3 linked regions of the Kluyveromyces lactis genome follow. The main gene of each other region encodes a partner of the protein of the gene in region 3 in a complex. Links are inferred from orthologs where the notes say so. Each region holds a gene or a part of one and is shown on either strand. Other genes may lie near its edges.

Region 1 (6,867 bases), on a different chromosome or scaffold from region 3:
AGGATAGTCCAGAATAGGAAGAACAGCAGTAGGTTGTTGCCACCATATTTATAGGTGTATAACTCTCTCAATTGGTGCAAATACTGTATGATGACCTTCCCACTCAACTTAGATTCACCTTCAGTTCTGACACCGAAAAAGAAAGGAACTTCGCCAATAGGTTCTTGTGGAGGAATTGGCAACTTAACCAACAAATCCAAGGCAATCTTGAAACCCTTTGGATTAATATTCTTGGCATCCTTGTGAATCAAGTACTTCTTTTGCAAACCGAAGAACCCACTCATCGGATCAGAGGCAGAAGTCAAAGGTTTAGCCATAGCTCTAGCACCACTAGAAATGACTCTACGGTACAACGGCCAGTCCTTGTCGATACCGACACCAGCAGCGTATCTGGTACCCAACACGAATGGATGTGTTCTCAAAGAATCCAACAATTGTGGAACACTTTCTGGTGGATGTTGCAAGTCCGCATCCATGCAAACCAAATATTCACCCTTGGCTTCATGGAAACCCTTCAAGACAGCGGAAGAAAGACCTCTTTCGTCGGTTCTGACGATGATTCTGACGTTGTAACCTTGCTTCTTCAAAGCCTCAACTTCTTCCACAGAACCGTCCTGGGAATTGTCATCGACGAAGATCAATTCAGTGATATTGGAACCTTCTTTACCCAAGGCTTGGAATAACCTGGTGGTCAATGGCTTGATATTTAGCTTTTCGTGGTACGCTGGAACAACAACAGAGTTTTCAATAGACATTTCTTATAGTATAATCTTATGTTTATTTCTTGAGCAATTGGTATAAATATATCCGGTCTTTATTAGTTATAGATAATAGCAGTCAAAAGGTTCCTGTTTCCCCAAAGAAAATATAACAGCGTGTGATTTGCTAACAAAGCTCGACTGGGTACTCTAATACAACTAAACAAAAACAATACTTCAAGTATTAACTACAAGAATTGTCAGGCATGTTTCTTTATATGTTTCTCTTTTGTAACTGTTAAAATATTGAACATGTTGTCCACTTTCGATTTTTGGACTTGAGGAAGGACAGACAACATCGGGTGAAAAATGAGGTGTGTGAGCCTGGTACATGTGACAGAGGCAGGGTAATGAAATTACTAGGACAGCGACAAGAGAAGCTATTATTCATAGAACGAACGACAATTTAGGATTATGCTACCGTAGTCTGCAAGGAAACTTCTAATAGGTATTTGGGATAGAGAGGGATTAGTGTAGTTATTTGTGCGTTTATATGTTTTATATAGAAATATTACTATTAAGAAAAGAGCCCATATATGTGTGTAATCTTATTCATCGACGTACTCTCCTGTTCTTGAAAGCATTTTCACTGCAGAGATTTAACGTCATTTCTGAATCTCTTTTCAACAGCATCCAAGAATTCGTCGGTGTTCACATAACTTGATCTGTCAGTGTTACCACAGGCAAGGGCCAAATCTTTGGTCATGATACCGTCTTCTTGGACAGTGTTCAAAGTGGATTTTTCCAACAAGTTGGCAAATTCGACGACTTCTGGAGTGTTGTCTAGTTCACCTCTCTTGGCCAAACCTCTAGTCCAAGCGAAGATGGAAGCGATGGAGTTTGTTGAGGTTTCTTTACCCTGTTGGTATTGTCTGTAGTGTCTAGTGACGGTACCGTGAGCAGCTTCACTTTCGAAGGCCTTACCGTCTGGGGTCACTAGAACAGAGGTCATCAAACCAAGGGACCCGAACCCTTGAGCAACGATATCGGATTGGACATCACCATCATAGTTCTTAAACGCAAGGATGAATCCACCCTTAGATTTGATCATTTGGGCAACCATATCGTCAATTAAACGGTGTTCGTACCAGATACCCAACTTTTCAAATTCGGATTTATACTCGGAATCGTAAATTTCCTGGAAGATATCCTTGAATCTACCATCGTATTTCTTCAAGATAGTGTTCTTGGTGGAAAGATAAAGGTTCAATTTCTTGGTGATAGCCAATTTGAAAGAGGCATGAGCGAATCCACGGATGGATTCGTCTGTGTTGTACATGGCCAAAGCGATACCAGGACCCTTGTAGTCGTAAACTTCCAAAGTCTTGGTCTCGGATCCATCAGTTGGCTTGTAAACCAATTCCAACTTACCAGGACCTGGAACGACAAGATCGGTGGCCTTATATTGATCACCATGGGCATGTCTACCGATGACAATAGGTTTTTCCCATCCAGGCACTAATCTTGGGATTCTAGGAATGACAATTGGTTCACGGAAAACAGTACCACCAAGGATGTTTCTGATGGTACCATTTGGTGATTTCCACATCTTTTTCAAATTGAACTCTTTAACACGACCCTCGTCCGGTGTAATAGTGGCACATTTCACACCAACACCGTATTTCTTGATGGCATTAGCAGAATCCACAGTAACTTGATCGTTAGTGGCATCACGGTTCGTCACGGAAAGATCGTAATACTTCAAATCCACATCCAAATATGGTAAGATAAGTTTACTCTTAATCTTATCCCAGATAATTCTAGTCATCTCATCACCGTCCAACTCCACAACGGGAGTCTGAACTTTAATCTTGCGCAACCCAGTTGCAGCAGAGCTGGAAAACTGACGATTAATACTCATCACTGCGGCCTTCATAGTGTCCTGTCCTGTCCTAATTCAATTTAGCTCAGTATACAACAACCGTCGAATATACCAACCTTAACCTGACCTAAAGTTATAAGGATACAGAAACTTTATAGCGCAGAGACGCAAATATACATGCATATATATATAATAGACTTAACCTCATCACTAATCACAGTTAAAAGCCAAAATATCCTTCTCAAAGCAGTGATAGAAAAATAAAGCGAATAGCTATAATAGAAATGATAGAAGAGTCATTCATATAACTTACTTAGGGCAATGGCAATCGCAGTACTTTTGTAGTTGCAATGAGAAGGTTACCGAACATGGAAGTAGCGGGTTTGTAATATTTCAGAGCCACGATTGATGCAATAATTTTGGGGGTAGTAAACTGCCCGAAATTTGTTTATTTGCTAGTAAGTCGCCGTTTTGGGCTCTGTTTTGGGGCGCTTTTGCTAATTTGTCGTGGGGAACTTCGTTACCAATGCGACGGTTAGGCTTTGTGAGACGAGAAAAAAACCGGATCAACTCGGGATTCAGGATAGACAGCGAAAGCTTCGTACTTTTCCAGTAGTGGTGGTTAATCGGTGATATGAATTGGGTGTTTGGTAGGACGCGAAGGCAGGGCCTGAGCCGGCCATGAGTCAGGGACTGGTTTTGGCATTGGCTTTGGATTTGTAGCGTGCGTCTTCCCTCCTATATACCCAATGATCATGTCAGCAATACTGGAGATGATAGCGGGAATTAATCCGTACACCACGTGACTTCCTTAGTGTCACGTGGTTTGTGATGTATTTCTTCTGTTTCCGGGTGACATTTTTTCTCGTTGGGTTTGGGAAATTGATTTCGGCGGCTAATTGTATATTTCTTACAATACAGCCATTGTTTGTATCATTTCTTGAAACTGACCAAACCCTCAGTTAAATACTTCCAAAACTAAGTTAGTAGTACAACCTCTCTTCCCATTTGAGTCTAATGTCTCCGCCAGTTGATTTGAATCAGATATGGGTAAACTGTTCCCAATGCCATAAACCGTATAACAACCAGCAAGGAACAAGCAATGGAAAGTTCTGGCTCACATCATGTGCTCATATCCTTTGTGATAAGCATTACCATAATGGAATGACGGTTTGTCCCGTGTGCACGACGAGTAGAATATCAGTACTTCCGTTAGATGGTGATAGTTCCAAACTACCGACAGAAGTGCAATCGTTCTTTAAACCCTTTGTATCACAACTGGAACCATTATACACAGTAGCTAATTTCCAGTGGGAGTCAATGGTGCAATTATGTGAATACTATCAAGATATGTGTCTGAAGTTACAGGAAAAGTGTAACAGACAACGACAGCTGTTGTACCAGGCAAAGGAAGAATTAGACAAGTTTACTGCTTTGAAGAAGGAATTAAGAATGAAGGACACCAACAGAGACGTCATATCGATGGTTACTAGAAATGACTCCAGAAATTTAATAAACGCAAAGGATGGGATTGAGCGTGATAATCAAGAGTCGTTCATCAGTAAACTACAAAACTCTCACCGATTGAAACCTTCACGGACAACTTCAGATGATGGAAACGAATCTCCAAATATTTCACACGTTCTTGCTGAATCTACGTCAATTGGAAGAACGGCACCAATATTGGTACCGCATTCCCCAACAACACCAATTTCAATGAACAATAAAAGCGGTTCTAACATTAATAACACGTTCGGCGCCAGATCAAACTCACGACAAGGAGTCACGAAAGCATTACCGAATGCATTGGAAAGATTGAAATTGAAAAGAAGTAGCACTTCAACGATATCATCAAGGGGAATATTATCACATATGAGGATTAACTCTTCTCAAACTACAACGGGATTCCCGTCGAGGAATAACACCACGGCACAATCGAGAAACAATAAATTTAAGAAATGATTAAATATTTGTCAGTTGATAAATAAGCTGATTTTGACGTTTTTTGAATTTCTGTTAATTAAAGACCTATACGTTTAAATTTAAACATATTGATAAAAATAAATGATGTTTCTGACAGTATTTCATGTTGATAATATAGTATTTCTTTGAGCTGATAGTCGGAAGATAGAAAAAAATGAGGGAAACGATTGAAGACTCCCGGTGAAACTTGATTCCAAATCCACTTATCTCTTGTGCTATTTTTCTTTTAAGATTATTATTAGATCTCACGAACGGTCCAGGAGTATGATAATGTTAATTCCTTTGTTATCTGTTTGTGATTTTTTGTTTGCATGAGTCTCGTCAAAGTGTCGATGAAGTCACTAATTTCAACTTTAGCTTCAGATTGCTTCGAACCGTTGCTTTAGTTTTTGATTTCGACGAGTGCAGGTATACATCACTCTCGAGAGATAAATAAATGTGAAATGAAGAGTTGAGTAATATTCTATTTTGCTGTCTGGTTTTGGTTATTGTGATGTGCTTGGTATTTTCTTTAAACCTCGGACTGACTATTCATTATTCATCAAGTAATAGAATAGAATATGTTCGCCGGCTGGCTGCAATAGTGCGGACATTTGCAGATGGATGGAATGTGTAGCAATGATGACATGAAAATAAAACGAAAATTATTGTGAAAGGATACGATATAACAAAGAGGGCAGGAAATTTATTTCTATCCACTCATTTAGAAAGCACCAAACTTCTTCAATTGCACGTAAGAAGAGATGAATGGAACAGCAAAACCTAGAGCAAAGAAACCGAAGTGGATGAAAGCGTATGGGATCTTTCTGTTGTGAATCTTAACTGGGATGTTCGAGTAAACACCTTCCTTGAAGTGGGCACCACATTGCTTGGAAGTGGCAGAGAAGGCTCTTCTGGTGGCTAGTCTGGTAACTTGGGAAAACATGTTTTGATTGGAATATTTGCTGTGGTATTGGACGCTAGGTTATCGAAACAAAGTTATTAATATCAACAATAAACTATAAACCATCCTTAACAAGAGTTGTAAATTGCAGTGCTAATTGTATTGAAATATGAAAAAAAAAATAATACGATATATTTTTTTTACCTTTCTATCGCTGCTAAGAAGAGAAACAGGATTAGGAAAAAGTCGTGCAATAACAAAAAAAATTGACAGAAGTGGGAAAACGGCTCAGAAAGTAGTGAGACACAAACGGAGTATCCGGGTAATGGTGTAAGATTTCCGACTTTCACTCTTAAAGCAAAGCTCTGCTGTGTCTTCGTGGAACGTGATTTCCCCGTGTACATATTTTTCTGAATACAGACACACTCACGTCGAATCCTGGGATATCATTGGCTAATGGGAATTTCGGTTTTAACGCGAGATCCTTTCTTGTCTACTTGTACTAACTACACTAAGATGATAAGAGGCACATGACCTGCGATCAATGGCTGCCCCAGAGTTTCTCTGACGGGAAATCTTCCCTCTTTGCCAATCCGGTGCTGTCAGTATTAGAGGAAGAAAAGCGATACCTCTCTCTTGGCTATATTGATGGGCAACCGATAGTAGGTTCTACCGGAACCTACTGAGAGTCTCAATCAGATATTGTCTTGAAAATCCACACTACAGTATGACTCGGTATTACTGGAGTTCTGAATGTCAATTCCCTCTTGGTGACAGCTTGAAAAATCGAGAAACTTTAAAAATTAAAAAAAATTGAAATAAACTTACCTGGCTCTACTATCCATTACAGGTTTTGGTTAATTTTTTTTCTAACTGTCTTCGGTTCTTTACTTTAGTCGTATGGTTTTTCTGATTTTCTTTTACTTCTTGAAATTTTGATATTTGATTAGTACTTTGTATATCTTTCCTCTGTCCCCTCTTAGTGTTGACTTTAGCCTTTTTCATTAGCTGTTGCTATCCTTAACGGTTTGTTCATCTCACATCAATCACTCTCACTTCACATCAAAGAATAATGTCTGCAATTGCTCCAATCACTGGTACTATTAGAAAGAGAATCTTGGCCGATATCACCATCGGTTTCGCTATTGGTGGTGCTATGGCTTCCTATTGGTGGTGGGGTTTCCACAAGAACATCATCAACAAGAGAGAAGCTTACTACGCTAAGTTGGCTGAACAAAAGGCTGCTGAAAACTAAGGACTGAATAAAAAAACGCAATACTTTGTGTTTTTCTATCTAAATCAACATATTCGTGTGCGGCCATGAGGTTTGAAACCTCTGTGTCCATAATACGGAGAATTGTATTCGATCCTTTTTTTCCTCCCAATTACCTATCGTTACTATAACATCCCACAACCTTTTA
Region 2 (7,308 bases), on a different chromosome or scaffold from region 3:
TTGCTAACATTTCATTACGGATTTGGTGTTAGTGGATTATGGTGGGGTATCACTTCTGGTTTAGTTTTCATGAGCATTTTCCAAAGCTATGCTGTATTTCATTGTAATTGGAATGATATTATCCGTGCAGCAAAGTCTAGAAATAGCGAAGGTGCCATGGTATAACGTCTCTGAAAAGACCACATATCGACTAAATACCATCGTACATTAATAAATTAGGAAGAAGGTAAACCCCATTCAATGCATCTTATATTGAACTTTTCATATATCATTATCTGTTTATTTTTTTGTTGTTTAGATATAAAAGATTTAACAGTACATCTTCTAGTTGAAGGATTGAGTTGTCAGCTGTTTGCTAATCATTTTATTGTACAATACCATACTGTTCCAAAATTTTGGCTAAATTATTATATAACCATGGTATGGTTTTATCATTTTCCTCAACAATACCTTGGAAGTGTTCGATGGATTGCTCAACGGTTATATTTTTGCCCTTTGCATATTTGTTGATAGCATTCACCAATGCGCTGCGGCGCTGATAAGTTCTCAACTTGGGTAATTTAGACAATTGACCTGCACCATGTTTCTCCTCGAAATGCAAGATCTGAAGCTTTGTATCTGTATAAAACTCGTGGTAAAGGTCATGGACGCTTTTGGGACAATCTGTCATTATAAGGTGATAGTTCTCAACATTGTTCAGATCTTTTGCGCCGAGAGGTCTGATTTTGCTCGAGTGTTGTGATTTCGCTACCTTGTACCTTGATGGCATTTCTCGCGATGCGTTCTCCGCTTCTCTGCTGAGACTACTGAAAAGAATTTCATTTTTAAATTCTTCTTTGAAAACTTTTGGCCCTTCCGAAATGTCAGCTTCAGTCTCATCAATTCCAAGTAGAGGTAGAGGATCTTCATTCTCTTTATTTACGTCAAAATCCACTTCTTGTTCCTCGGTTAAAAACTGGTTATTCATATCCAAATCATGAGCTAAAAGATGTGTTTTAATGATTCCTAAATCAACAATAATCCCAGTATGCTGTTGTTGTATTAAATCTAACTTAGATTTTAACAGGGCAATTTGACCATTGACACTTTGACACTTGCTATTACACACTGCGTCGCATAAAACGTTCCAATCAGTTTGTAAAGTGTCTACTCTGCTTTGGAATGTATGAATTATTCGTTCAATATTCTGTGGCATCTCATTTGATTCTCGGCGTCTTCGCAATGCAATCAAAACTTGAAAATACTAATTGATTCAGATGTAAATAATAGTGTATATACTAAACTACGAATAAGCACGAATAACAGAGGTGATGATGTGAAAGTTTGTGAAATCTGTGGTTTATATAATATTTGACATATGTTTAATATAGTAATTAAATCTTTTTGTGACACTTTTATTTTTCGTTTTTCCTTTTCCTTCACTGACTGCATGGACGCACCAGTCCACACAGAAAAACCAGCAAACCTAAATGTGGCACATCAGAAAAGTTGTTCGAGCGGCGATGGGTTTGCACCATCCAAACAATACTAGGAATAACGTTTTCCTGCTGGTTCGAAAACGCACTGAATTTAACTACTGTTATTCTTTTATGAATTGCAAAGTATCGATGCTATCTGGAAAATTTGAGTACAGATTAAATACATTTTGTAGGGAAAACTATCATTGTAGGAGCGGTGACAGCCGTTAAATCTATGCTAAATGGGTAAGTTTTAAGACGATATTTGTGAAGGATAGAAATTAAGAAAGAGGAATGAAAAAAAACGCGATACTCCTGTACCTCTAATTTTTTACGTTTTTATTCTTTGTCTTTTGTCTTTTAGCGCTGGATTTTTGTTCTTTCGTTTGCTCTTTCTTTTGTTCTTCTTGCTCTTCTTCTGCCTCGACCTCTTCCAAGTTTCTTTTGGCTTGCTTAATTTGCGTAGCAAACAAGGAGTCTAGTTCGTCTGGATTTGCAATTTCTAACAAAGATTTCTCAAATTGTGATAGTTGCAATTCGACACCATCAATTTCTATGACATTTTGAACGGAAGTCTTAGCATCATGTCTGGACCCAACCAATTTGTCTAATACTTCCAAATTAACGTATAATGGAAGGACTGGTGATTCGTTAGATTTGAGAAGAATGGTTCTGATATTGTACTTTTCGATGAACTGTTTAGCGACAGAAATGATATTTTCAGTCAATTGTTCTGGGGTGAACCATTCCAATGAACCTAGATGAACATTCATCGTGTTACCTCTTGGAAGTTTGACTGGGATTTTAGTATCATAAATTCTCTTGATGCTATTTACCAAAGTTGTCTTGTTAAACTTGTTATCCGATCTTGTGTTAATGGCAATTGGAGTGGTATTCAACTTACTGTATGCTTTACCACCTAATAGCTTGGGCAAAGCTGTCACTATCGAGTCATCAGCTAGAATGAAAGAAAAATCCTGTACAAATGCACGCCTCTTTTCAAAAGCCTTGTATTTTGTCTTCAAATCTTTACCAGATATGATGGCATCAATAGTAATATGTTCTGGAAGTAGATCGATCAAGTCTTCTGATGTCACTGAATTGATATCAGAATCTTTTAGAATCAAAAGAGTCTTGAAATCTTTAACCATGGTGGTGCTAGCTTCCTTCCATGGCTTGAAGATAGAATGAGGAACTGTAATTAGTTTTGGTTTGAAGTTTTTCAAAGAACCAGTAAAAGATTCAGTGTTGACTAGGATCAACTGTAGCTGAGCCTCCAATTCAGAATCATCAATTAACTGATTGTCATTTGATCCATTTTCCTTCAAATATTCTTGCAATTTAATAACAGCATTGTTAACTCTGTTAACTGGAATGACTTCTTCCTCTTTACTGCCCTTAGTAGCCTTGGTGGCTTTGGTCGAAACCTTGCTTTTCTTAGTTTTAGTTGCCATATTATCTAAACTTTGATATTGCTTATAATGTGCTTGTAGATATACTAGACTGGATGAGTGGAGTTATTTCCTCTATATTCTGGATTCTTTCCAAGCGTTTTTTAACTTACTTGATTCGCACTGTCTCAGAAAAAGATCAACAAATTGTTGGTTCACCTAGGTAAGCTTACTTCTCGAGTTCGTACTGGCAACTATGAAATATCCAGTATATATCTAATCAATCCTTTGAGCTGAGAAATAAGAATAGGTACTTAAATACTTTACATACCATTACTTTATTAATCGTGTTAGGTGTGCAACATACTTCGAGATGAGATGAGATGAGCTATGATGAGATGAGCTCTCTATTGTCAAAAATAAAAATTTTCTGTTTCGCAGGAGCTCCACTGTGTTCACGTAGTTAGTAAATATTGCTTTTTGAAAGCGAAGGCCGTAATATATGATTTGAAACTTTTCTTGAAATTTGATAACATTTGACACTTAAGAAATAAAGAGTAACCGAATCTGATATTGAATCTCGGTGCGTGTTTGTGCAAAAGTTACTAATGAGCAACGGGCTACGTTCAGTGAATGGGGTTACAATACAAAAGGGCTTAAACTGTGTATTTTAGGGTTTCTTTCTCTGGTTTATTTCGGAACAGTACTATTTTTGAGTTAGGTTTTTTCGGCTGTCAAACAGGACTCACGATCGATATAAAGGATACCTTAACAGAGAATACGCCGCACGAATCTGATTTATGAGTTATTAAGTTGCTATTATTATTATTATTATTATTATATCGTAAACATAGTCATCGTCCCCGTTCATTTATACTGCAAAAGGCATATTAGCATATATTAATCAAATCTAGCCGCAGGGGTAAGCATACGCTCTCACAAGACAAATAAGAAGAGCATTAGACATGGGTAAGAGAAAGAAGTCATCCAGAGGTCCAGCCAAGAAGATAGTACAGAGGTTAGATACGGCATTCAATTGTCTCTTCTGTAATCACGAACGCTCTGTGAGCGTAACAATGGACAAAAAGAATAACATTGGCTCGCTTCATTGTAAGATTTGTGGACAATCGTTCCAAACCCGCATTAATGGTCTATCACAACCGGTAGATGTATATAGTGACTGGTTTGATGCGGTTGAGGAAGTTAACGAAGGGAAACATAGCGAATCTGAAGATGAAAACAGTGACAGTGACTACGAGAGTGACTCTGATACTGAGCCTTCTTCAAACCGTAGAAAAGCTGTTGGAATAGATTCTGACGAAGAAGAAGAAGAAGAACAAGAAGAAGACGAAGATGCGGATTACGGAAGAAAAGGAGCGACCGAACGAAAAGACTCAGAACCAGAATCAGACTCAGACGATGACGGTAAAATATCTAACAAAAGAGGAAGAGCAGCATGGATGGACAGTGATGACGAGTAGTCGAACCGACAGAAACACAGACATCGAACACCAATATTAATCTTACAATTGTATCTATCTATCTATATATTACCCAGAGATATACTAGTAGAACGAATAAAATCAGGTATAAAGGAGCTGATATTTACGTTCAAAGAGATTGCTGGATCTTATCTGTTTCCTATAAGAATTTATATAACGCTCACCTTGGCTTTAACCATCGGTTGATAGTATTCAGTTTGTACTGCAGAAGAATTTATATATCAATTCTACATCAATAATAGTATCTTTGGTATATCGAACTTCTCAGTAATGTGGCATTATTTCTGAACTAGATGGTGATACACGAGATAACAAAACTCGAAAACTTCAGTTGTATGAATTCAAACAAGATAAAATTACTTCTGCTCGTAACGGTGCAATAACCTAACATACGATCAAGTGAAAACAAAAGAGCACATTTTTCTGTCTACCGCTAAATAGACTAAACGCGTATGTTAATAGCTGTTTGTTTGATATATAACTACTTTTCCTTATAATTTAGTCAGTATAACATATATATAATTATAATAATTGTGATGATGATGATAATAATAATAATAATAATAATCTTGATTTTATTTGAATTGTTTGTAAATGTTTCTTGAAGGTTTGTATTCACGGTTCTGTATATGTCCTGGCAAATAAATAATGTCTTCGTATCTGCTACTACCAGTAGTCAGCACCAAAAAAACCTCCTCAAACAAACAAATGTGTGACAAGAATATATGGTGTCATAGGATGGGACACGTTCGTAAATATAGTTTTTGATGATATTTATTTTGGTTTCATTTGGTTGTTGGTGTTGTGGATAAGTATTGTTCTTTCCTTCCTAGTGAAAGGTTCTCAAAAAGTGAAAATAGTATGGGAGAAGATGATAAAGCCGGTGACTTTAGATTAAATGTTCTTCTATATGCACTTATTGGAACAATTCCTCCTTCAAAGGAATTCCCAATTCTTCTCTAACATCCTTCAATTCATCCAAGTAAGCCTTGTATTGATCTTCGTTTTCAACTTTGTATCTCAAGGCTTCGAACACTCTGACAGCAGTTGGCAAGTCGTTAACCTTTCTGGCGGCTCTCAAGGCCTTTTCGATAACAGCTGGGGCTGGAACCAAATCGTAAGAGAAACAGTTATTCAACACTCTTTGGACTTCGAATAAATCGTAAGCCTCTTCGAATTCCTTTTCGTATCTGGCGGTGAATTCTTCAAAGGTTTCTTCTTCGTGTGCATCGGAGTACTTTCTGATAGAAACAAATTGAGATTGTAATTGACCAACTCTTGGGGCAACAGCAGCTCTCATCATAACCGGAGCAACGGCTCTTACTGGCATAGCAGCTCTCAACAAAGTTCTGGACAACATATTTTTCTTTGTATTGGTTGATTCGGGATTTGGATTTGATTCACTGTATTAAGATGATCAAATAGCTATTCTAAAAGGAATTATAACAAACCGTATTCACAAAAGATTCAAAGTCGAGTTCTATTGTAATTAAAACTTAATGTAAAACGCTTTAAAGATATATCAAATAGGTTAGGTAAAAGGTAAATCGACCGATAATTTTCTCTGGAGTTTTTTTAAAAATTTGAAGTAATGAAGAATGAAAAAAAAAAAATTAAATACTTAAAATCGCATAGGACAAATATCAACAAACAGTTCAAATACTTAAACTAGTGGATAGCTACGTCTTTGAACTAGATAAAAACGAGATTGTTAAAAGGAAAGTAAGAGTAATAACTTGCGAAACGAATAGCACAAATTTGAACCTCGAGTGAGTCGTTCCATTCGAAACAACTTTTATTGTATCTTATTCTTTGTATGCATCATCTTCTTAGTAGTTTACAAAAAAGTGGTATTATCAGTTTTTTAAATAGTGTGTCTATGGAAAATGGATGGAAGAAAAAAAGAGGGCTAACATAATTCATCGGCAGAGTTGCAACAAAAGTTCACACTCCAAAAAATCCTACATGTGGTACTTACGAGCAAGTCGTTTATCTAGTTCGATTTTAATTATTTGAATTGAGTATTTCTTGACTTTCTGCTGCCTGTCATTTTTCAGTCGAGCGATGTCAGATTAAAGATCTCATGTTCAAAGGAAATGAAACCTTAACTCTCATAATCTTCGAAATAATGTCCTATAAAACAAGATAATAAGTCCGTGATAATAAACCCCACAAGCAGTATCTATAGAATCCAATAAAACACATTCGTGAAATATGCTGGGGGGTAATGGGCATTGATTGAGACTGGTCCGACCGTTCTGTAGGGTGTCTTGTTTGTGGGGAAGGAGAACGTATTGGCATATGATTGGTTCGTCACCGATGATTTTTACCACATAGTCGGGTAATAGGACAGCGGGAGAACGTGACTTCAATACAAATACAATTACCCGGAAGTCGCGTGGTTTCAAAGGTTTTTTTTTTCTCGGTAGGCAGGTTCCCCTGTTCGATCCCTCATCTCCGCAGAAAACTGCGGGTTATTATGTCTCTAAACGCGATAGTTAATCCTCTATATCGTCAAACGTTGAGATAGGTGGCATCGCGGTCTTGATATGTTGCATCAAAGCCGTATGGTTTGGTTCAGAGTTTGTAGACCCCTCAACTATTATTCGGGTATGTCCATTGTCAAACACTTTTCGAACAGCAGGTTTTGAATCATCGTCGATACCTGCACCAGCCTCTTCATGTCCCGTGTTACGATTAGGCCATTCTTCAAGCCTAGAGTAATCAAATCCCGGAGGAGGTGACGCTGGCGGAGACACTAGAAATAATGTCTGGGCAGGGGGAACTTTAAGGTGATTCATCACAGTGTCAGCGCCAGCGTGTGGAAATCCAGCTTGTGAATTCGATTCAGCCACGTGATTCGTGATGGAGAACCCAAATTTACAATCAGGGAATAATGGGTTCAAGGATTTCACTTCACGGCTCGCCTCAATATTAGGCGATGTTACCAATATTCTC
Region 3 (11,312 bases):
CCATTGATAATACATAATGGAAATGTCCTACTACATAATAAGTCTTCCCCGGACGGCTCGTCCGACCATACGGTCGGACGATGCCGTCCGGGGTTTATATTCTTTATTTACATAAAGGATTGGACTATGTCTTAATAATATATAACCAATATATGTATCCCGCGAATTCCACTTTAAGGGAAATTCGCGGGAAATATAATACATATTATATATATTATATATATATTGATAATTATATATTATTATTCACGTATAGTCTCTACAGTTCCCATTATTATATAAAATATAATAATGGTTACCACGAAATTGTCTTATATAATTGTAGTATATAAATTACATTAAATTTATTTATATAAGATTTCTTCGTTAGCTATATTTATTAAAAAAAAATATAACCCTTAATATATCATTCCCCCCCCAACACCTTATAGGTGTTGGGGGGGGGGGTATAAAGATAATTAAGATAGTGAATTTACTACATGACACTTTAAATATTTATTTTTTTTCATTTAATATATTCAATATATTTATAACCTTGTAAATTATATTTATTAAAAAATTTAATAAATATATTAATATAATATTTATTATATACCTCTAAAATATATATATTATTTTTATATATTAATTTATTCTTAATATTAAAATAATTTTTTAAGAATTCTATTAAATGTTTATCATTTATATAAAATAAAAATGAATTATTATTATTCTTTCTAATAATAAATTTACCTTTATTTTCAATAAAACCTAAAAATCATACATTAATATAATTATGATTATAATTATTATTAATATTAATATTAATATTAATTCCCGCGAACTTTTTATGGAAGTTCGCGGGGGAAAAATAATTAATTTTAGTATAATTTATATCTTTATAATATTTATATAAATTAGGATTATATTTATTATTTCTATCTTTTAAATATAAATTTATTGCTAAATTTCTATTATTTTTATAAATATAATATATAGATTTTATAAATGCTAATTGTAATTTTTTATTTATAGTTATTAATGGATATTTATTAAATAATTTAATTAAATTATTAATATTTTTTATATCATTTATAATTCATATTACATAATTATTATTAATATTAATATTACCTTTTAAATAATGTTTAATATTATTTAATATATTAATATTCTCTTTATTATTATTTAATTTAATAATTAATCTAAATTGTAAATATTTAGATTTATATTTATTAATTTGAATATTACCATTACTATCAAATAATCCTACAAATAACATTTTATAGAATTCTGACCCTGCGGTTCATCTTCCTTGTGGATATGAACCGCAGGGAATACTATTATTAATATAATTATTATTAATATTATTATTATTATTAATATTATTATTAATATTATAAATATTATTAGTATTATTAATATTATTAGTATTATTAATATTACTATCACTATTACTATTACTATTACTATTACTATTCCCCGCGGCTCTCATTCTACTTTCGTAGGATGATGAGTCCGCGGGGTTATTATTATTAGTATTATTAGTATTATTATTAATATTATATATTTTAATAGAGTATAAAATATTATTAATTTTATAAAATGTGGTAGGATTATATAAATTACAGTATTTCCCATTAGAGAAGGGATAAGTATAAATATATGAAATATATAATATAATAATTATAATATTTATTTTATCATGGAATGCTACATCTAATGATGCATTTGCTAATGCTACTCCTGTTAATCCACCAATTGTGAATAAGAATAAGAAAGCAATAGCATATAACATAGGTACAGCTAATCTAATTGATCCACCATAAATTGTTGCTCTTATTTTTAACCTTAAATCATCACAGATTCATTTATAATATTTATAATAAATATTATAATAGCTAGTTAAATTTATATATAATTATTTATTATTAATCCCAATATCCTCCAAATATTTGGAGGATATTGGGTAACTATATATATTAGGATAATATATATATAATACATATATATATTATTTGAAGGATTGCTTCAAAACTATTACTAGTTCCATTGGATCATTCCTTATGTATTCATATAATAGACCCGCAAAATATTTCCTGCAGGAAATATTTTGCGGGGAATATATTACTTAGAAATACCAGAAGCATCTGATCTCTACGCTTTTATATATATAATTTCTTATATATAATTTAGTTCGACGATTGCCCTATATAAATTCTAATTTATATATATAGGATTTCTCTCGAGTTTGCTTCTTAATATATAAATTATATATATATTATATAGATTATATATATTACCCCGCGGATTCATATTATGAATCCGCGGGATTATATTATTTATTATTATATTTATCATATTTTTGTAATAATTTATATTCAAATTTATATTTTATAGATGGAATAATATAATTTTTAATATTAGGATATAATAATTTAATAGATTTAACTTTAATATAAATAACATAATATGATTTATGTTTATGTAAAGTACAATCTAAATTAAATTTAATTTTTAAAATATTAATAAAATAAATTAATTCTTTAATAGTATATGATTGTAAATTTAATGTAATACCTCCACCTTTATTAAATGAACCATCTCCTATAATAATATGAGCTAATGATTCATAATTTAATAAATCATATAAATCATTTGGTATAATTTTTACTCTACCATTATAAAAATGATGTCTTAATTTAGTAAAACAAGGTAAAGCTATAGTAGTTATTTCAACTCCATAATAAATTTTACCTTTTAATCTTTCCCCGCGGACTCCTCCCCTGGGATTACCAGGGGAGGAGCCGCGGGGTGTTTTAATTAATTTTGGAGGACTTACACAATAATGATTTAATTTATTATATACATATAAAACATATTCTACTTGTTTTAAAGTTTGTTTAAATTTTAATCTACTATTAATTAATGTATTTTTTGAACTATATTCAATTCAACCATCTGTTAATAAAATTCCATTAATTATATATATAATATTATTTGGAATTTTAATTATATATTTAATTATTATAGTATTATTATATTCTTTATTTATTAAATTTGAATATAAATTAGTACCATAAATTGTTAATTTTTTATTATAATAATTATTATTATTATTATAAGAATTATAAGAATTATTATTATAAATCTTATTTATCCCCGCGGTCATGTTACCGATAACCGGTGACTGACCGCGGGGATTATTATTATTATTATTATTATTATGATTATTATTAATATATATATATTTTATATATTTTTTGATCAACTTAATACTCTTGCTAAAGGAGTTTATTAATCATGAGAAAATTTTAATACCTGTAGGAATTGCAATAATCATTGTAGCCGATGTGAAATAAGCTCTAGTATCTGCATCTAATCCTACAATATACATATGATGTGATCATACTAAGAAACCTAATAATCCAATTGAAGCCATAGCATATACCATTGATACTTCACCGAATACTGGTTTTTTAGAATAAGTTGATACGATATGTGAAATAATACCGAATCCAGGAATAATTAAAATATAAACTTCGGGGTGACCAAAGAATCCAAATCTAAATAATATATTATCTTTTCCCCAAATATTATTTTTGATAATAGCACGGGTAGACTCTATAATATATATCTCATATATAATATATGACCTTATTATTAATAAGTGATTCCGACTGTACATTAAGCAATATTATTATATCACCCATTGGTGAAGCAGTCTGTAGCGATCAGAATATATAATTATATATATTATAACCGACGGTCTAAATCTGAGAAATTGTTGACCGTACCACCAATGTTGCATTATATAATATATATATAATACTAGAAAATAGTATATTTATCTCTTCTCCCCATATCTTCTTATCAGCTTAGCTGGGAAGAAGATATGGGGGGGGTATTAAAAAAGGTAAATCCCTTGGATGGTGTCCGAATAAGAGAATAATAAATATTTAGTCTCTTAATTTATATATATATATTAAGAGAGATATAATCTTTTTATTTTTCATATCAACATTGTTATATCTTTTCTAATTAACTTAAGTTAAACTATTTCCTTTGTTTCAATATTTTTTATTTATACTAATAAAATATGATTATTTATTAATTAATTCCCTGCGCGACTCACCCAACCCTTTATGAGGGTCGGGTGATGTCGCGCAGGGTTTAGATATTTTTTTAATATATAATTTTTGTTCTTCATTTAAAGGTTTATTTTGTTTATAATAATTTATTACATGAATAAATTTATCTAAACTATTAGATTTATCAGATAATAAAGGATATTCTTTAAAATAATTTAAAATAAAAATACAATTATTTAATCCTGAAATTCATAATTGTCAATTATCATCTTTAGAATTAGAATAAACTTTACCAATATTTTTTTCACTATTAATGTTATATAATGAATTAGTATTAGATTTATCAATAAATAAATTTAAAATATGTTCTAATACATATTTATTAACAATATGTTTTTGACTTAATGCATATAAAAATCTAGGTGTATTTTTATTATCTTTTAAAGAAATATCAAAACAACCTTCAGCATCAGTAAATCCAGATAATCAATAATCATTTAAAGTAGGTAATTTACAATAATTTTTTAAAATAATTATAGGTTCATTATTTTTTAATAATTTTTCATTTAATTTAGCTAAAAAAATTATAAATTTACCATATCTAGTAGGTAATACTAAATTACCATTAAAAATTAATGATAATAAATAAATATCTCTTCTTTTATGTACTACTCATCTATATGTTATATCTTTTTTAGATTGTAAAATTACATCTCCTATATTAAAATTATTTTTAATATAATTTAAAATTTTTATATCTTTAGAAGTTACAACAACAGAAATATCACTTCTTTTTATTAAAATAAATGAACCTTTACCTTCAAAAAATCCTACAAATCATTCTAAAAATTTTTGATCAGGAACAGAATTTATAGGTTTAAATTCTTTATATTTTAAATTAAATTCATCAAAATAAAATTTATCTTGATTAAATTCTAAATTTTTAAATGAAGATAATCATAAATTAATATTATATTTATAATCATAAATTACTATATAAAATGGCATAGAAAACAAATGTTGGTATAAAACAGGGTCACCACCACCTGCTACTTCGAAGAATGAAGTATTGAAGTTTCTATCTAATAATAACATTGTAACACCTGCTGATAATACAGGTAATGATAATAATAATAAGAATGCTGTAATGAAAATAGATCATACAAATAATGGTAATCTATGCATTGTCATACCATTTGTTCTCATATTTAATGTTGTTACAATGAAATTAATAGCACCTAATAATGATGAAATAGATGTTAAATGTAAAGCAAAAATTGCTAAATCAACACTAGGTCCTGAATGTGCTTGAATTGATGATAATGGAGGATATACAGTTCATCCAGTACCTGCACCAGATTCTACTAATGTAGAAGTTACTAAACATACTAAAGCAGGTGGTAAACATCAGAATGAAATATTATTTAATCTTGCAAAAGACATATCTGATGCTCCAATTAATAAAGGTAACATATAGTTACCAAAACCACCAATTAATGCCGGCATTACTAAGAAGAAAATTATTAAGACCGCATGCCCAACTACTAAGACATTAAATAATTGATGATTTCCGCTTAAAACTTGATTACCTGGTGCGGCTAACTCTAATCTAATGATTAAAGACATGGCAGTACCTGCCATACCACAGAAAATAGCAAAGATAAAGTATAAAACAGCAATATCTTTAGCATTTGTAGAATATAATCATCTTTCGATCATTAATTTATTTTTATAATTATTATATTATATTTAAAATATATAATATAATAAACTATTATTATTAGTTATATTTACCCGCGGCTCCCCCCCTGAAGGGGGGGGGGAGCCGCGGGATTAGTATGTAATATACATTATGTTTTTTATTATTAATTAATTAATTAGTTATATATAATTATTATTATAATTATATAATTATAGATAAATTCTTGACCCCCGCGCTCCTTCCCATCCCTTTATGGGATGGGAAGGGAGCGCGGGGGATAAATAAGTTTTATCTTACTTATATATAATTTATATATATAAAAATATATAAATTTACCAATTTACTATGCAGATCGGTAAAAATATACATTTCCCCGCGGTTTCACCCCCCCCTTAAAGGGGTGGGGAGGAACCGCGGGGGTTATATTAATTAATTTAATAGATATTATGTGAATAGTCGGAATAATTATTCTATTAATATATAATAAGCCTCTTAAAGAAAAATATTATTCTAATTATATTAATAATAAAAAATAAATAAATATATTAGGTAGGGCTTATTTCCCACCATATGGTGGGAAATAAGCCCCCCTCATTAGTATTATTTTATATAATAAATAATAATATTATAAATAAATATAATATATAATTATATTAAAATATATATATGTATATTAATCCGCGCCTCATCCTTTATAATGGATGAGGCGCGGATAATACTTTTCCCGCGGACTCCTTTAAAGGAGTCCGCGGGGGTTTATTATTAATATTATAATATATAATAAATAAGAATTACCCCGCGGCTCATCACCCTACATTCGTAGGGTGAGAGACCGCGGGGGAAAAATATTATTATAATAATTAATTATTATAATAATGGTTATCCTAAATTTATTACTCCCTACTCCCCCCCTTCAATATCTGCGCACCAATCGTGTGCGACAGGAAGGGGGGGGAGTATAGCATGAGATCAATAAATTATTTTTATACTCTTATTTATATATAATTATTATTATATTTAAAAATATAATATAATATAATATAATATAATATAATAATTCCGCGGATTCATAACATGAATCCGCGGGATATAAAATAAGTAAGAATCCCCGTCTCCTTGTGGGTCGGGAAGGTGACCGTGGGGAAACCCCTAATAATATTGTAGGGTTTGCAGGGAAAGAATATTATTATATATAATTTATTAATTATAAATTATATAATTATTGTTCATTTAATCATTCTAAGAATGCTGGTAATGAAACTGCTTCAATTTTAATAGGCATAGCTGAATGTGATTGTCCACAAATTTCTGAACATTGTCCATAGAATACACCTTCTCTTTGAATTAAAGCTGATACTTGATTTAATCTACCAGGAGCTGCATCAATTTTAATACCTAAACTAGGTACAGCAAAATCATGAATAACATCAGCTGCTGTAACAACAAATCTAATATGTGTATCAACAGGTACTACTACTGAAGTATCAGTATCTAATAATCTTAATTGACCATCTTCTAATAAATCTTCAGGAATAACATATGATTCAAATTCTACTGTTTCACCATTATCATTAATGAAATCTGAGTATTCATATTTTCAATATCATTGTAAACCAATAGCTTTAATAGTCATTGCTGGAGAAATAACTTCATCACATAAATATAATAAAATGAATGAAGGGAAAGCAATAATTAATAAAATTACAGCAGGGAAAATTGTTCAAATAATTTCAATAGTTTGACCATGTTTAATATATTTATAAGCAATAGGATTTTTACTATAAGTTCTTACAATTGTAAATAATAATCATGATACTAATCCTAAAATAATAAATAAATAGAACATAATATTATCATGTAATTCTAAAATACCTTCTTGATTAGGTGTAGCTGAATCTTGGAAATACATACCATAAGGTGTAGGTACATCATTCATAATAATTGAATTTAATAAATAAAACATATTTATAATTTTTTTTAATCTATATATATTCTATATATTAGATATTACATTGATTAATATATTATTCTCCCGCGAACTCATCCAACTAATGTTTTGATGAGTTCGCAATTAGGAAAAAAACTTATTAATAATAAATTATTATAAATAATTATAATAATATTAAATAAGTATATTGATATATTATTATTAAATTTTTATATTTTAATTGATATATTTAATATATATTAGAGATACGAGATTTGAACTCATGTCCTTCGCGTGTAAAACGAATGCTCTGCCAATTAAGCTAATCTCTATTATTATTATTATAATAATATTATACTTACTTATATCTATATAATAATATTATATAATAATTATTATAAATTCCCCCAATTGCGTATTCCTCCCCACCCCCCTTAAAGGGGGTGGGGTTTATTAATTATATTAACTCCGGGGACTCTTCCCAGGTATACACCTTATGGGAAGGAGTCCCCGGGAGAAGAGTATATAAAATTATTTATACACCCCGCGGCTTATTCCCTGGAATTCCAGGGAATAAGTCCGCGGGAAAAGTATTATAAATAAATTAATAAATAAATAAATAAATAAATAAATAAATTATTAATACTAATAATAAGTATTATACCCCGCGGGAAAATGTATATTATATATTTATTTATATATAAAATTAATAATATAAAATTAATTTTTATTAGTATTTAGAGGTCCTTAAGGAAATAGTAAGGAGAACGCGGGAAAGATATATATTAATTTATTATATATTATAAAATATTTATATTTTTACCCCCCCCTTCATATAATATGAAGGGGGGATTATATGTATATATTAATTTATTATATATTATATAATTATATAATTATAATATAAAGAAAGAAGCCCCACGCGGCATTACCCTAGGGTAATGCCGCGTGGGGGAAGAATATTGATTATTTATTTATTATTATTAATTAATAAATTAAATAGTATTTAATTTAACTTTAATATTATATTTACCATTTTTATTAACATCAGAAATATTAGTAATATTATGGTTAACAGGGATATAATTTAATTTATAATTATTAACCATTTGATTACCTCAAATATATTTATAGTTTTGGAATGTACCATTTAAAATATTCATTGTATTAGATCTAGAAATAGATTTATTATTAGATAATCTACCTTTTAATTGAATTGATCATCCTACTAAATATTTAAACATTAAAATATTATTAGGGATAGTATTAATATTATTATTTTCATAAATAATATTATATAATTTCCCCGCGGCTCCTCCCCTGGGATTACCAGGAGAGGAGTCCGCGGGGTTATTATTATTATTATTATTAATTGATTTAATAATATTATTATATTTATTAAACATAATATTATTAATATTATTAATATATGTTTGACTAATTAATTTATCATTTAATTTAGGCATATTATTCATTAAATTTTTAATTCTATTCATTGATAAACTTCTTTTAGAAGATGAATTCATAATTTTTAATGATTTAGCTAAAATATCACTATTCATATAATTATATTTTAATTGAATAGGTTCAAATGATACATCTTTATTATAATATAATGATAAAATATTACTAATACTATTAATGTTATTATTTAATAAATTAATTAATTTACTATTAATATTAAATTTATAATTACTATAAATATTATTAATTAAATTATTGTTATTATTAATATTTTTATTAATATTTTTATATGATAAATAATAGAAAAATTTAATATTAACTTTATTAATACTATGTTCAAAGATAGGTTTAGAAATAATTAATTTATAAATTTTATTATTAATATTTAATACTAATAATTTTGTTAATAATTTAGTTACTAATCTATCATAAATAGTATTATTAATTTCTTCAGTTTTATTAAATTTATAAATTTGAGATGATCAAGAATTAATATTATTTAAATGTTGTAATTTTACACCTTTATTACTTAATTCATTTAAATAATCTCAAATATAAGTTTTATTTAAAGATCTATTTAATCTTTTATTATTTAATAATAATAATAATTCTTTTATAGAATTTAAATTGTTTATATTATTAATATTTTTAATAATATTTAAATTTGTTGTATGTTTATTCATTGTATTTATATTTATTTATATATATTGATCGTATAATATATATATATAAAACTATATATATATTATTATTAAATTATTAAAAAATTTAACATGTTTATTATATTTACTACTTATAAATATAAAATAAAATATTTATTATATATTTTATAAATTATGTATATTCCGCGATATCATCATATGATGATATCGCGGGAAAGAGATAAATTCCCGCGGATCCTCTACTGGTAATACCAGTAGAGGATCCGCGGGGTAAGATAATATATTCTATTTATAATTATTATTAAAGAGATAATCTATTTTATTTCCCCCCCCCCCAATCTCATATTATGAGATTGGGGGGAATCGATATATAAACCCCGGACGCCATCGTCCGACCGTAGGGTCGGACGAGGCGTCCGGGGAATTGTATTTATTTATATAGATCTATTATATATAATAATATAATTATTAATCGCCAAATACCCCTATTATAGGGGTATTTGGCGATACTAGATATATATTTAATATTACTAATAATATACTATATATAAATAGTTTTCATAATTAACTTTTCCCCATTGCGGACTCCTCCCTTCGGGGGGGGGGGAGTCCGCAATGGGGTTTATAAGTAAGTATAATATAATAATAATTATATTAAAATATAAATATTATCATATATATATATATTATATATATATATTAAGTAATATTATTTCTATAAATTAAATTAACATTTAAATTTATAAATGTATAGATTATAAAAATATTTATGACACATTTAGAAAGAAGTAGACATCAACAATTTCCCTTTCATTTAGTAGCTCCATCACCATGACCAATTGTAGTATCATTTGCATTAATGTCATTAGCATTATCATTAGCTTTAACTATGCATGGATATATTGGACATATGTATTTAATTTATTTATCAATTTTAACAGTAACATTAAGTGCTACATTATGATTTAGAGATATTATTGCTGAAGCAACATATTTAGGAGATCATACAATTGCTGTTAGAAAAGGTATTAATTTAGGTTTCTTATTATTCGTAGTATCAGAAATTTTAATTTTCGCTGCATTATTCTGAGCTTATTTCCATTCAGCTATGAGCCCTAATATTGAATTAGGTGGTGTATGACCTCCAGTTGGTATTCAAGCTGTACAACCTACAGAATTACCTTTATTAAATACTATTATCTTATTATCTTCAGGTGCTACTATTACATATAGTCATCATGGATTAGTAGGTGGTAATAGAAAAAATGCATTATCAGGATTATTAATTACATTCTGATTAATTGTTATTTTTGTTACTTGTCAATATATCGAATATACTAATGCTACTTTCACAATTACTGATGGTGTATATGGATCAGTATTCTATGCTGGTACAGGATTACATTTCTTACATATGGTTATGTTAGCAGCAATGTTAGGTATTAATTATTGAAGATTAAGAAACTATCATTTAACAGCTACTCATC

The links. Proteins that work in one complex are often made in the same cells at the same time.
Region 1: the proteins of COX1 (region 3) and COX8 are in contact, whole or in part, in a cryo-EM structure (PDB 6T0B), measured with the Saccharomyces cerevisiae proteins. The link is inferred for Kluyveromyces lactis from reciprocal best matches to the Saccharomyces cerevisiae genes COX1 and COX8. Residues at the interface, in NP_009305.1 of Saccharomyces cerevisiae: Met1, Gln3, Arg4, Trp5, Val16, Leu17, Met20, Ile23, Phe24, Met27, Ala28, Ala31, Met32, Leu34, Ile35, Leu48, His49, Asn51, Leu54, Leu58, Thr117, Leu118, Val119, Glu120, Ser121, Gly122, Leu401, Gly402, Leu403, Phe466; in NP_013499.1 of Saccharomyces cerevisiae: Val28, His29, Phe30, Lys31, Asp32, Gly33, Val34, Tyr35, Glu36, Asn37, Ile38, Pro39, Phe40, Val42, Lys43, Tyr49, Ala50, His53, Phe54, Phe56, Phe57, Ile59, Gly60, Phe61, Val63, Pro64, Phe65, Ala67, Cys68, Val70.
Region 2: the proteins of COX1 (region 3) and COX6 are in contact, whole or in part, in a cryo-EM structure (PDB 8DH6), measured with the Saccharomyces cerevisiae proteins. The link is inferred for Kluyveromyces lactis from reciprocal best matches to the Saccharomyces cerevisiae genes COX1 and COX6. Residues at the interface, in NP_009305.1 of Saccharomyces cerevisiae: Asp496, Phe497, Val498, Glu499, Ser500, Ile503, Leu506, Asn507; in NP_011918.1 of Saccharomyces cerevisiae: Leu66, Phe67, Gln70, Leu73, Asn74, Arg106, Glu109, Ala110, Tyr113.

Annotation. Positions count from the first base shown.
Region 1 is NC_006038.1:299,211-306,077, reverse strand, and holds COX8 (cytochrome c oxidase subunit VIII), read right to left. Parts: upstream 5,489-6,867; coding exon 5,267-5,488; downstream 1-5,266. Other genes in the region: DPM1 (dolichyl-phosphate beta-D-mannosyltransferase), read right to left, coding at 1-755; isocitrate dehydrogenase (NADP(+)) IDP1, read right to left, coding at 1,345-2,634; SUMO ligase CST9, read left to right, coding at 3,598-4,542; COX9 (cytochrome c oxidase subunit VIIa), read left to right, coding at 6,519-6,701. UniProt on the Saccharomyces cerevisiae protein: Component of the cytochrome c oxidase, the last enzyme in the mitochondrial electron transport chain which drives oxidative phosphorylation.
Region 2 is NC_006042.1:2,031,355-2,038,662, forward strand, and holds COX6 (cytochrome c oxidase subunit VI), read right to left. Parts: upstream 5,711-7,308; coding exon 5,267-5,710; downstream 1-5,266. Other genes in the region: KLLA0_F21802g (MATE family efflux transporter), read left to right, coding at 1-165; KLLA0_F21824g (transcription activator GCR1-like domain-containing protein), read right to left, coding at 365-1,195; CIC1 (Cic1p), read right to left, coding at 1,781-2,911; ELF1 (Elf1p), read left to right, coding at 3,814-4,329. UniProt on the Saccharomyces cerevisiae protein: Component of the cytochrome c oxidase, the last enzyme in the mitochondrial electron transport chain which drives oxidative phosphorylation.
Region 3 is NC_006077.1:27,945-39,256, forward strand, and holds the start of COX1 (cytochrome c oxidase subunit 1), read right to left. Parts: upstream 5,790-11,312; coding exon 5,081-5,789; intron 3,541-5,080; coding exon 3,279-3,540; exon of another isoform or gene 3,278-3,278; intron 1,818-3,277; coding exon 1,682-1,817; exon of another isoform or gene 1,681-1,681; intron 1,679-1,680; coding exon of another isoform or gene 488-1,678; intron 44-487; coding exon 1-43. Other genes in the region: COX2 (cytochrome c oxidase subunit 2), read right to left, coding at 6,992-7,762; VAR1 (ribosomal small subunit protein), read right to left, coding at 8,695-9,861; COX3 (cytochrome c oxidase subunit 3), read left to right, coding at 10,595-11,312. UniProt on the Saccharomyces cerevisiae protein: Component of the cytochrome c oxidase, the last enzyme in the mitochondrial electron transport chain which drives oxidative phosphorylation.